3 linked regions of the Cricetulus griseus genome follow. The protein of the gene in region 3 purifies or fractionates together with the protein of the main gene of each other region. This does not show direct contact. Links are inferred from orthologs where the notes say so. Each region holds a gene or a part of one and is shown on either strand. Other genes may lie near its edges.

What was found.
Region 1: the proteins of Tssc4 (region 3) and Eapp purify together in Homo sapiens (affinity purification with mass spectrometry; 3 studies listed by BioGRID and IntAct, counting the BioPlex papers as one, with this or other methods). This does not show direct contact. The link is inferred for Cricetulus griseus from reciprocal best matches to the Homo sapiens genes TSSC4 and EAPP.
Region 2: the proteins of Tssc4 (region 3) and pre-mRNA-processing factor 6 purify together in Homo sapiens (affinity purification with mass spectrometry; 3 studies listed by BioGRID and IntAct, counting the BioPlex papers as one, with this or other methods). This does not show direct contact. The link is inferred for Cricetulus griseus from reciprocal best matches to the Homo sapiens genes TSSC4 and PRPF6.

What each region holds. Positions count from the first base shown.
Region 1 is NC_048598.1:147,607,094-147,611,204, reverse strand, and holds the start of Eapp (E2F-associated phosphoprotein), read right to left. Parts: upstream 2,838-4,111; 5' UTR 2,753-2,837; coding exon 2,679-2,752; intron 9-2,678; coding exon 1-8. UniProt on the Homo sapiens protein: May play an important role in the fine-tuning of both major E2F1 activities, the regulation of the cell-cycle and the induction of apoptosis. Promotes S-phase entry, and inhibits p14(ARP) expression.
Region 2 is NC_048599.1:310,479-314,727, reverse strand, and holds the start of pre-mRNA-processing factor 6, read left to right. Parts: upstream 1-1,433; 5' UTR 1,434-1,557; coding exon 1,558-1,628; intron 1,629-4,249. UniProt on the Homo sapiens protein: Involved in pre-mRNA splicing as component of the U4/U6-U5 tri-snRNP complex, one of the building blocks of the spliceosome.
Region 3 is NC_048596.1:58,316,346-58,320,104, reverse strand, and holds Tssc4 (protein TSSC4), read left to right. Parts: upstream 1-1,445; 5' UTR 1,446-1,590; exon of another isoform or gene 1,591-1,719; intron 1,720-1,872; 5' UTR 1,873-1,997; intron 1,998-2,086; 5' UTR 2,087-2,096; coding exon 2,097-3,050; 3' UTR 3,051-3,219; downstream 3,220-3,759. UniProt on the Homo sapiens protein: Protein associated with the U5 snRNP, during its maturation and its post-splicing recycling and which is required for spliceosomal tri-snRNP complex assembly in the nucleus.

The sequences.
Region 1 (4,111 bases), on a different chromosome or scaffold from region 3:
CTTCAGAACTAACATAACAGACAGGGAATATGAATACTAAAGTATTTTTCTTTGTTTTTAATTTATTTATTACAGGAGTATGTACAGGAGTGCTCTATCTCCATGTATGCCTTTAGGCTAGAAGAGGGCATCAGATCCCACTACAAATGGGAATTGAACTCAGGACCTCTCTGGAAGAGTGGCTAGTGCTCTTAACCACTGAGCCATCTCTCTAGCCCTGAATATTAAAATCACGGCTAGGCTGTGGCTCAGTGGTACAATACTCACATAAAATGTGCAAGGTCCTAGGTTAAAAATATAGCATCACAAAACAAAATAAAATCACTTAAAACTTCTATCATTTTAATAGCAAATGTAAATTTGACAAATTTACATCTGATATACCTATCACATTACATGCAGCAATAATCATTAATAAACAATAGATCAGCTAATCCTTCCGATTTTCAGGGGGCGGGTTTCTGGGTTTTTTATTTGTTTGGTTGGTTACTTTTTGTTTGCTTGTTTGTTTTGGTTTTGTGAGACAGGATTTCTCTGTGTAGTCCGACAACTCACTCTGCAGAACCAAGCTGGCCTTGAACCCAGAGATCCACCTGCCTCTGCCTCCTGAGTGCTTGGATTAAAGGTGTGTCCCACCACTGTCTGGCTTCTTTCTTTCTTTCGTTTGTGTGTGGGGGTGGGGGTGTTCTGTTTGTATGTGTATCTGTGCATCAATTGTGTTGCCTGGTGCCCATAGAGGCCAGAAAAGAGCACTGGATCCCGTAGAACTGAAGCTACAGTTAGATGGTTGTGAGCAGCTCTGTAGGTGCTGGGAATTGAACCCGGGTCCTCTGGAAGAACAGCCAGTGCTCTTAACCCCTGAGCCATCTTTTCTGTCCCTCTTTCTGACTTCTTGTATTATCACATTGATTTTCAATATTTGTACCAATTCATAATTCTATCAACTGAAAAAAACTTACTTCACAAAACTGAGAGTTTTATTTAGGATATATATATATATATATATATATATAGAGAGAGAGAGAGAGAGAGAGAGAGAGATACAATTAATATACAGTTAATATATCAACATATAGCAGTTAAATAGATGGTTTAGCTTGTAACAGACTTACTGTGTGCATGTTCATATCTAGCTCCCCTCCCAGCACCCACATGCCCTTTCTACAATGGTTCTCAATTTCCTCGTGAGTCACATATCAGATACCCTGAATACAGATATTTATAGTATGATTCATAACAGTAGCAAGATTATTTATAAAGTAGAAATATAGCAAGAAAAATTAGTAGAATCATTGTATCTAAGGTAAACATTAGAATGAAACAGTTGTTTTTCACTGTATTAAAGATAAACTTCATAATAGCTGCTTTCTAGAAGTACTGAGACCTTGAAGAAATCACTGTAAAAAACAGTGATTGTTTGCTGTTATCTATAGAGTTGTTTTTCTGAAAGAGCTTTACAGTCTTTGCATGACTTTGGTCACAAGACTGTCCTGGCACACCTGGATAATTTGGATTACTGGGTACTGCAATACCCAATAATACAGTGAACAATAAGGACTAAAGTGGCACATGTGTGATGCTTTTCTTCAGAAGGACATGGACATATGACTATATTAGGGACTTTGGTATAAGGAACTTGTTTTAACAAAAAAAAAACAAAAAACAAAAAAAACAAACAAAAAAAAACACCTTTTGTGTAACAATCAAATACAACTTTGCACAAATGTTTGGAGTTCAGTTCACAGAAACTGTTCCTCCCAGCTGCCAGAAAACCTAAAATTCATCTAGGAGTGATCCTCTTCCTTTAACCAACCCACGAAACACCGAACACCTGCCAAGCAATGAAGTAATTTTATGGTTGAGGTCAGCACAGCATGAACTGTATTAAGGGGCCCCAGCATCAGGAAGGTTGAGAACCACTACTCTAGAATCTAGGTTAATAAAGGAGTAAACAAGCCAGTCAGGGGGGTGCACTTTAACCCTAGCACTTGGAAGCAGAGAGGCAAGTGGGTCTCTTGAGTTCAAAATGAACTTGGTCTATAGAGCAAGTTCCAGGCCAAGCAGAGCTACACATTGAGGCCCTGTCTCAAAACTAAAATTAAAAAACCGAAACAGATAGATTTAAAAAATTCCCTGGGTTTAATATCCGGCAAGGTTTTTAAAAACGGGGAAAAAAAACATGTTTTACATATAAGTAAAAGCATTCCAAGTTCCCTCAGGTAGGATAAATACTCCCTTTCCAAAAGTACCACAGACCAAGACAAGAATTGTGTATTTTGTATCTCTTATCATAAGCCAAAAGAAATTCCCCGTTCACTGCTCCGTTATTTCTATTTGACAGTCTTCCAGATGAGTACTGAGGCCTGTGGACCTCACGAGTCCCACACTTGTATTTCCATTTACAGATGCGAAGCTGAGGAGAACTGACTTGCCTTCAGTCACAGTGCTAGCAAACGCTAAGGAGCAGGGTTCCAGCTGAGATTTACGCTTGGGGGCCCCCCGGGATTCTGGAACATCCCTCTTCCCGCACTGCTGTCCATCCCGGTTCCCCAGAGACTGAGCAGCCCCACCAGGCACCCTGAGGCTCCTACAAGTGAAGCGGGAACAGTGTACCCAGGCTCGGCGAGCACGACGGCCTCGGGCCAGGGCCGGGCGGACACCGCGGGGCAGCGGCCCACCTGCTCAGAGCCGGCTCCTCGTCGCTCGGCTCTTCCACGGCGTAGGGATCGTAATCATCCTGCAGCCGGTTCATGGCGGCCTAGGGAGGCCTACGCGGTCCCCTGCAGGTCCGGGTGTCTGTGTACTCCGCGGGTACCTCCCCTAAAGCGTCCCGACTCTCCACTTCCGCTGGTCATGCGAGCCCTTCCTGTGCGCGCCTGCGCAGGGCGTCCCAGGGCACGGGCACCGGAGGAGGGTCGGGGATCAGCTTGGCTCTGCGTTTTCTTTGCCGCTGAAAACAGCAGTTGCCTTTTTATGGATTTTTGTTGTTGCTGTCGCTTTATTTAGCCTCTGAGATGGTCTCACTGGCCCAGTCTGACCTAGAACTCGCTACACAGCCCAGGCTGACTTTGCTCCGCCTGCCTTGACCTGCGGAGCCCTGAGATTACAATTGTGCGCCACCGTGCACTCTGATTTCTTTCTTCCAAGTTGTTATCTTGGCCTTTCTCCCCAGGTTTTTATTAGGCTTAGTGGTTTGTATGCAAATAAGTGATATGTGGTAGACCTACCTAGAAAAATACTATGCAAAAGTAAAAAGATTTTCTATCGGCAGTTAAACATTACAGGGGTGAATCTCCTAGAACTGAACTGTGAGGATGAGTTCCTTCCGCTGGCGGAAACGATGAGCTAGAGCTGCTTTTTTGCCCAGAGCCTGAGCCTCAAAGACAGGTTTTCACCGCCCCTTTTGTTTCCAGACTTGACCCTCAATCAATAACAAGCCTCGCCCCGCCACCCTTAGTAGGCGGGGCCTTAGCACGCATTCCTGCAACGTCACAACAAAGGCGTGGTGTATGTAAATGACATGCACGCAGAGGATGCAGGTTCCCCGCAAGAAGGCTTCCCATACTGTTAATGGATAATATTCACTTATGTACAGGGTGGTTTTAGGGTTCACTATTAGACCAAGGGAATGTGAGGGAGAGGAGGATCAGTAAAAAACAGACCGTAAGTAGAGAGTAAGTCTATAATGAGGGAGAGCGCGCGCGGGGCGGCTGCAACTCATACTTACCTGGCAGGGGAGATACCATGATCACGAAGGTGGTTTTCCCAGGGCGAGGCTTATCCATTGCACTCCGGATGTGCTGACCCCTGCGATTTCCCCAAATGCGGGAAACTCGACTGCATAATTTGTGGTAGTGGGGGACTGCGTTCGCGCTCTCCCCTGGTTTTACTGTACAACGTTAGACTTTTGAGTTGTGTAAGGGAAAAAACTTAAGCTAGAAGAGTGTGCTTGTCTAGTTACTGCTGTTTTTTTTTCTTGATATTTCTTTTTACTGCTAGATGGTATTATAGAGCTGGAAACTCTAAAATCTTTTATTAAACTGCTCTTTAGTTTGGAGTTTATTTGTTGTAACCCCAGTGAATTTCATTAGGCCTGTCGGTACCTGTAGGC
Region 2 (4,249 bases), on a different chromosome or scaffold from region 3:
TACTTACGCTGTCCAGCTAAAGGCTAGATCAATCTCTCCCAAATACCCGTGTATCCTAACTTATTCATCCCCTTTTAAATTTCATGAATGTTTTGCCCGAATGTATATGTCTGTGCACCACGCATGTACCTGGTGCGGAAATCGGATCCCCCAGCCCTGGGGTTTATGGTCTGTGAGCTGTCATGTGGGTGAACCCGTGTCCTCTGCAAAAATATGAAAACTTCTTTTAATCACCAAGCTATATCTTCATCCCCACTTGCTCGTTCTTTACTGGAGCATTCTCTTTTCTCAGACCATTTTCCAGAGACGCTAGCTGACATTTGCCTGCGGGTCACTTTGAACTCCAGGCAGTACTATGCCTCTCTGTTGAACTCCTGAATCAGACTCTGTTCCTAAGGGTTCAGTGTTCATAGACTCAATCAATCCTGTTCCTCCCTAAAAGCTTGTTTGAGGAGCCAAGAATGGTTGTTTGCTTCAGTACTCCACTGAAAAGCACTGGACGTAGAAGTCTGGTTGCCTGGTCCAGCATAGCAATTTGCAGTTTTTCCTGTCTGCCCTAGAGTCTGATGCTCTCCCCAGGTTGAGACTGCTTTATTGAAACAGAGGGGCCCTGATCTTTCCACTGGATGAAAGGGGAGCACATGTAGAGGGATTTGGACACACACATACATATATACTTAATAGCTACCGGGAAGGTACAGCTATTTTTGTGATTTAACCGGAGGCAGGGTTGTTTTCCCTAGTATATTGTTTCTGCAGGTAGAGCCCATCATCCCTGTGGCTAAGCAATCCTTTATACCTTTGGGCTATTGCCCAGTACAGCCTGACTCATGACCTGAATCTATTTATTACCCAACAGGTGGGATTGGCATTGTCTTGCGTAGAGCTGCACACAGGCAGAAAATATCTGTGTAGAGTTACTGTGGTGCGCGTCCACTAAAGCCCCTGGGCACACAATCACTCCCAAGCATGTAACTCCGGCCCATGCACTTATTCTCTGAAGGCCCACGGGGGTGGGACGGAGCAGGAGGGGGGGGTGTCGCAGTTCTGAACGCTGAGCGCACAGAGCAGTAGTTGCGGAGTGCACGCAGTATCGACGGGCGGTGGCCACACAGTACAGCTAGGCAAGTCTTGGTCATGTAGGCTGAATCCGTCTTCCTAAGGCTAGGCAGATTCGAGGCCATGCCAGCACCGGGACGCTCCTCAACAAGCCTACTGGGCTCAGGCTGTGCATCGTCCCTGGCACAGCAACAGAACGCATGACCCTTACATCTGCCTGCGCGGCCCGCTGCGTTAATGGTTAGTGGCTTCCGCGCACGCGTGCTCAGCTTCCCACAGCAAACCCACCCAGCAGCCCCGACCGGAAACGCTTTGCAAACTCACATCTTTGACTTCCGTCAGAGGCTCTGTGTGGGCGGAGTTTTGCGCGACCTCACTCTCTACTTCCGGGGCGCCGGCGACGCAGTAGCCGCCTCTCTTCCAGCTGCGACACCGCGAGTATTCTTCGGCCGCCTACCTGCTCCTCTATCTTTCTCTGCCTCGGCCAAAAACACCGCCATGAACAAGAAGAAGAAGCCGTTCCTGGGCATGCCCGCGCCGCTTGGCTATGTACCCGGGCTGGGCCGGGGGTAAGGCAGTGGGCGGAACTTATACCAGGAAGGGTGGCTAGTGCTCTGGAACACTACTTGCTCCAGGCCTAGTTGAGAATGATACTTGTGACCACTAAGTAGAGAGAGACCTCATCTCAAAACAAACCAACAAAACAAAACAAAAAACAAAAAACAAGTGCCTGAGGGTCTGAGTGTGGTGGTGAAGGTCTCTAATCCCAGCATTGAGGCGGGGCGCGGTGGGGGTGGTTGGGGGGGAGACAAGCCTGATCGGCGTAGCGAATTCCAAGACATCCAGGTTTACTTAAAGAAATCTTGTCTCAAAAACAAGAATAACGTTCACCGCCATATATTCTGAGAGGCACTAGGTAATTTGACACAATGCTTGACAGACATGGTGGCCTTTTTTGTTAGAATAAGCCCGACTGCCACCCTGAGATGTGAATCTGACCTCAGGGATTACGCAGGCGTGTGAGCCTCATTGTTTTGGTGTCTGAAGTAATATGCACAAGCAAGTCGGCTGTAAGGAGCAGTTGAGTCTGATGTGTATAGTAGGAGTGTGCTACTCCTTTATTCCCTTAAGCATCTTTTCCCTCTAGGGTGTGTGGCCATAGGTCACCTTTGGACAGCAATGGCCTATGCCTGCCAACCATAAGGTGTTGGGTAAATGAATAGTATTTTTCCTACTTATTTATGCATTAGATGAGACATAAGTCTCTCCTGTTAATAGTATTTAGAATTGACTTGAATTCACTAGAATTCAAGGTTTGGTGTTTGTGTATATAAGCACACACAGGAGAACAGAAGTTTTAAGAGTGTAGCATTTTAGTCAGATTTACAAAGAGGATTTGAAGTGTCAGATTGGGAAAAGCAAAGAAAAGTGGAATTTATGCCAGGTAGTTCCAGCACTAGGGATCCAGAAGCCAACTTGGTCTACAGATCAAGTTTTAAGACAGAAACTGTCTCAAAAAGCGAACAAAAAGAGGAATTTGGTGTAGACACATAAAAAGGCAAGTAGTGGGCTGTTGAGGTGACTCAGTAGGTAAGGCTCTGTCAAGCCTGAGTTTGATCCCCAGAATCCACGTGATAGAAGGGGAGAATAGATTATTGTCTTCTGACCTCTATACATGTACCAGGTCACACACACTAAATAAATAAAAAAACAGGCAGTTTTAAAAGGCAGCTGGAGGTGTAGCCAACTGTACCATGCCCAGGCCTGGGTTTGATTCCAGCACCTTGCCCAACCTCTTTAAAAAAGACAATGGGAATAGAGAGATGGCTCAGCAGTTAGGAGCACTGACTGTTTTTGTGGAGAACTTGAGTTTCGTAAACGGAGGTGGAGCTTTCATGTCCCGGCTGCACAGTTCCAAATAATCACACAGAAAGTTTTATTAATTACAACTATAATTATATAGTTGTATAATGATATAATTTGACCTATATATAGTTCAGGCTTATTACTAACTAGCGCTTACATTTAAATTAACATGTTTCTATTACTCTGTGTTGCCATGTAGCCCTGTCTTCTTTCTTTCTTTCTTTCTTTCTTTCTTTCTTTCTTTCTTTCTTTCTTTCTGTTTTGTTTTTTGTTTTTCCGAGATAGGGTTTCTCTGTGGCTTTGGAGCCTGTCCTTGAACTATCTCTTATAGACCAGGCTGGTCTCGAACTCACAGAGATCCACCTGCCTCTGCCTCCCGAGTGCTGGGACTAAAGGCATGCACCACCAACACCCGGCTATTTCTTTATTTTTTATTAATTTATTTTTTACATTCCAACCCCAGTTCCCCCTCCTTTTCTCTTCCCACTACCCCACTACCCTACTACCCCTCCCCCCCCACCTCTCATCTGCTCCTCAGAGAGGGTAAGGCCTCCCCTAGGAAGTATACTAAGTCTGTCTCATCTCCTTGAGGCAGGCACCTCTCTACCCCCACACCCCTGTGCCTAGGCTGGGCAAGATATCTCTCCATATAGAATGGGTAGCTGCTGGAGATGGCTCAATATTTAGGAGCACTGGCTGCTCTTCCCAGAGGACTTGGGTTCGATTCCCAGTACCCACGAGAGATAATATTTAAGCCGGGCGGTGGTGGTCCATGCCTTTAATCCCAGGACTCTGGAGGCAGAGGCAGGTGGATCTCTGTGAGTTTGAGACCAGCCTGGTCTACAAAAGCAAGTTCCAGGACAGCCTCCAAAGCCACAGAGAAATCCTGTCTTGAAAAACCGAAAAAAAGAAAAAAAAGGAAAAAAAAAAAAAAAAAGAATAGGTAGCCCTGGCTTTTACTGGTTTGCTGTTGTTTCTTGGGCAGCTGGCTCATGTCTCCCTGGACTCTGCCCCTCCTCTGTTTGATTGTTCTACCTAACCCTATTCTGCCAGGCTAGTGGTCAGCTTTTATTATTAACCAATGGGAACAATATATATTTACAGTGTATAGAAGCATTCTATAGTATATCTCCCTATCTGGCTAATCAAAAAGGAAGGTTTTAACTTTAACTTAGTAAAATTGCATATAAAAGAAAAAGTTCAGTCCCAGTGAGGCCAGAAAAGAAAGGAATCCAGAATGGTGGGATTTGCTGCAAAAAGAATGGAGCTGCCAGGGAGCCTCTGGTAGTGGATTAGTATTTTTCCCTGGTGCAAGAAGGGACTT
Region 3 (3,759 bases):
TTTAATAAAGGAGGAGAAAATCAGGCATGCTAACCGGACTGTCAGACCTCTTCCTGTTCCAGTGGTGTCAGAGACGGGTACCGCTCTGGACTTTGCCAGGCACAGGGTGAGCAGGTCCAAGAGAGGCTGTGGAATAAAATGGGTGGGAAGGATAGGGACCCTGGGAGCACTCCATCTGAGTACTCCCTCGTTTCTACCTCCCTGTACTGGGAGTTCAGGCTGACCTTATTCCAGCCTTGACCTCATTTCCACTCATCTGTTGGACATGCCAAGTCACACTGAGACGGGTAGGAGAGGTCACGCAGCAGGAAAATTCGACACAGAATGCTGGGGATAAGCTACAAAAAACTCCCACTTCATCCCACTTTTGAAAGACAATACAGTAAAAGTTAGACTACTGCCCCATCCCAAGTATCTAGGTGCTTAGAAATGTTCTAAAGAGCTGGGTGGCTCTGGCCTGTCTCAAGGGATAATAGTCAAGATGGCAGCCCACTCAGCTCAGCCCTATGAACTGAGGATTAGGCTAAGCAACCTCTTGGGACACCAGCAACTATCACCACTACTGCCTTTCCCTTTGACTCCTGTCTGCACCCCTCCCCCAGGCTACTGGCATATTTAATTGGCCTCTAGAGGAGAGAAAGCGTGGCTAAGATTTAGGTCTCAGCTCCTAGCAACCTCCCTGTAAGCTGATTTGTCAGTGAACCCCAAGTTTGTCCTAGGGCGTCCTAATCTCTACTATCGTCCGTCCGCCGCCCCCCTCCCGCCCCTTGCAACCTGTTCCCTGCTTGGGTTGGCTGCTGGTCTGAAGGACTTTATACTCTTATGTTGTGGGCCCCTGGCCAAGGCTGTTGAGAAAACTGCAGCATGGCTATCAGGGCTTCAAGAACATAGGGAAGGAAGTGAGCGTGCAGCAGCCCAGTGGATTCTCAGACTCTGGTTCCCAGAGATGAAAGAGGACAGCCCCGGGCCTAGAGGGGAGTTGTGTGTGGCCTTAAATAGTGGGGTCGGTGTCCAAGCACGGCTAGGCAGAGCCTAGAGGAGAGGCCTCGAATCTCTGCAGCCCCAAACAACTTATCCAACATCCAGAGCCCACCACGTCTCTAGATGCCAAGAGCCAACTAGGACTTAAGTCCCCGCCCCCTTTAGGAAGCCAACCGAGTACAAGATCAGATCAGCACCACTTCTGACCAGGAAACTTGTTGACGCCCGCACTGCGTGGTGACGCACTTCCTTCCAGTGACGAACCCTGCTCAGACGGCTTCCGACAGGCGGCGCTGGAGGCCTCAACCCTTTGCGATTAGCAGTTGGCCCTATGTACAATGGGAATCGAGGCTCTTGGCTCCGCCTCTTCCTCTTTCGTCATTTCCGGGTAGATTTCCGTGTCCGCTCCAGTCTTACGGGATGACGTATACGTAAAGGTTACACCTCCCGGCAGGCATTACGCATTGGCCCATTGCCTTCTGGGAGTTGTAGTTCCTTGGCCGCTAAAGTTGCAGCATTCAGACAGCCGGAGACTCGGTTTCCCAGAAAGCCGAGCGAGAGTAGGCGGGGGCCACGGCCCGTACCTCGAGAAACCGGCGGGACGCTACGGTAAAGGCAGCTGGCTGTTGTAGCGTGAAGGGACGGTGGAGCGGTGAGCGCTGGCCTCCTTAGGACCGTGCGACCAGGCCAGTCCCCTGCCAGCTCTCCCTCCGGAGCCGGGTGGTGCCTCCGGTGGCGGTGTGTACCCGGAGAGGCTGCGCTCTGTGAGAGCCGGTGATGAGACGAGCTGATGGTCGAGAGCCTCTGTCTCCAGCGTCTCCTAGCGCGCACCCTTTATATGTCCGCACTGTTCTGATCTCATGGTTTGACTCTCTGCTTAACCCTATCTAGACTGCAGCTCCACATCAGTGCGTGCGAGGACACACTATTCGCCACCCAGCTTCGCGAGGCCTCCGCCCGCCTGCGTGACCAGCCAGCGCCCGATTGCGAGCAGAGGCGCCTGGCACATAGTGGAGGTGAAAGTGGGGGAGCCTGGGAGAACGGGGGTGGGGGGGAGCTGCCCAAGTACACCCCTCACAGCAGAACCTGGGCTGCTTCGCTACAGGTCGGGTTCCATGGCGGAGGCGGAGACTGGCTTGGAGGCCGAGGAACCCACCGAAGATGACACCCTGCCTTCTGACACCGTCTCCCTCAGCGACTCGGACTCGGACCTCAGCTTACCTAGTGGTGCTGAGGTGCAAGTGTTGTCCCCGGAGAGGATTTCTGGGGAAGCCCAAGAAGACTCCGGCCCTGATGAGCCTCCCTCGCCCCCCACGGGCGTCCCCACCACCGCAGTTCAGCCGTTCCACCTCCGCGGCATGAGCTCCACCTTCTCCCAGCGCAGTCACAGCATCTTTGATTGTCTGGAGAGTGCAGTCCGGCAGGCACCGCCCTCTGCGCCCCAAACCAGTGTGACTGAAAATGGCAACTTCAAGCGACCTGTGGCTCCCCCAAGTCAGACTCCAGCAGGGAACCTGAGCAGGGTGCATGGGAGTACGGGCCCAACCAGGGTACCTCCTGTGCCCGATTATGTGTCACATCCTGAGCGTTGGACCAAGTACAGCCTGGAAGATGCGACTGAAGTCAGTGAGCAGAGCAATCGTGCTGCTGCCCTGGCCTTTCTGGGTTCTCGCAGCCTGGCATCCCCCACAGACTATGTACCTTCCTTCAACCAGGACCCCTCTAGCTGTGGGGAGGGGAGAGTGGTCTTTACCAAACCAATTCGAGGCAGTGAGACTAGGGCTGAAAGGAAGAGGGTCCTAAAGAAGGGGGATGTGTCAAATGCTGTGAGTGAGGCATCTGTGGAGCTGGCCCATCTGGCAGGGCCTGAGCTTGAGGAGTGGAGTGGCCACCAGGGACTGCAAGAGGCAGTGATACCTTCAGGAGCTGACCATCCTGGGTCCTCATCAGATCCCACAGGGATGGAGGCTGTTGGTTTCCATGGCAGCAAGAAGCGGAGCAGAGAACACTTCCGGAACAGGGACAGTAACCCGGAGGGGCCAGGGTCTGAGAGGGGACCCTCAGTTTGACTGCAGTGCTATCTCTCCACCTCCTCACCTGCCCAGTCCAGGTGGGAAGCTGTGGGCTATTTGTAGAAGGGGTGTCTGGGAAGCAACTCTGACTAGGACTGTGGGAATTGTGGGACCTTATGCCCCCGTTTCTTGGGGTGAAAAATAAAGGTTTGGGATATTTCTTAAATTTTGTGGATTTTTCTGCTCCCTATTCAAGATGTGTCCAAACAGTCCTTGGCAACTAACTTCAGGACTCCATCCTACACCTGGCTTATCTTGCTCTCCCCACTCCAGTGGGGACTGCTGTAAAGATTTGCCATGATCCCTTGCATTTGCTACCAGTGAACCTACCCAGAGGGACTGGGTTCATAACCATGTCCAGCCTTGTACCCCTGATGGTAATGGACGAACATAATCTGTCCCCCAGAAACCAGCACAGCCTCCACACTAGGCCTGTGCAGACCAGTTTTAGGAAGAGGGTAGTTTGAGCCAGCGAAGGAGTTTGGGCAGGTGTCCACCCAAACTAAAGATAGAGCTGGTGTCCTGGGTGTATGTCTCCAGGATTTGTGACCTCTGTGTAGGACACTGCTGATGCTAATAGGCTGATGCTAGGTCATTTAGCTGAAGCTTAGCCCAGGAGGAAGAGAAGGATGCAGGGAAGACACATGAGTGAGTACTTCATGCCGTGGCCAGGGTCCTGAACCAAGTTAGCTAGCCTGGTACACTA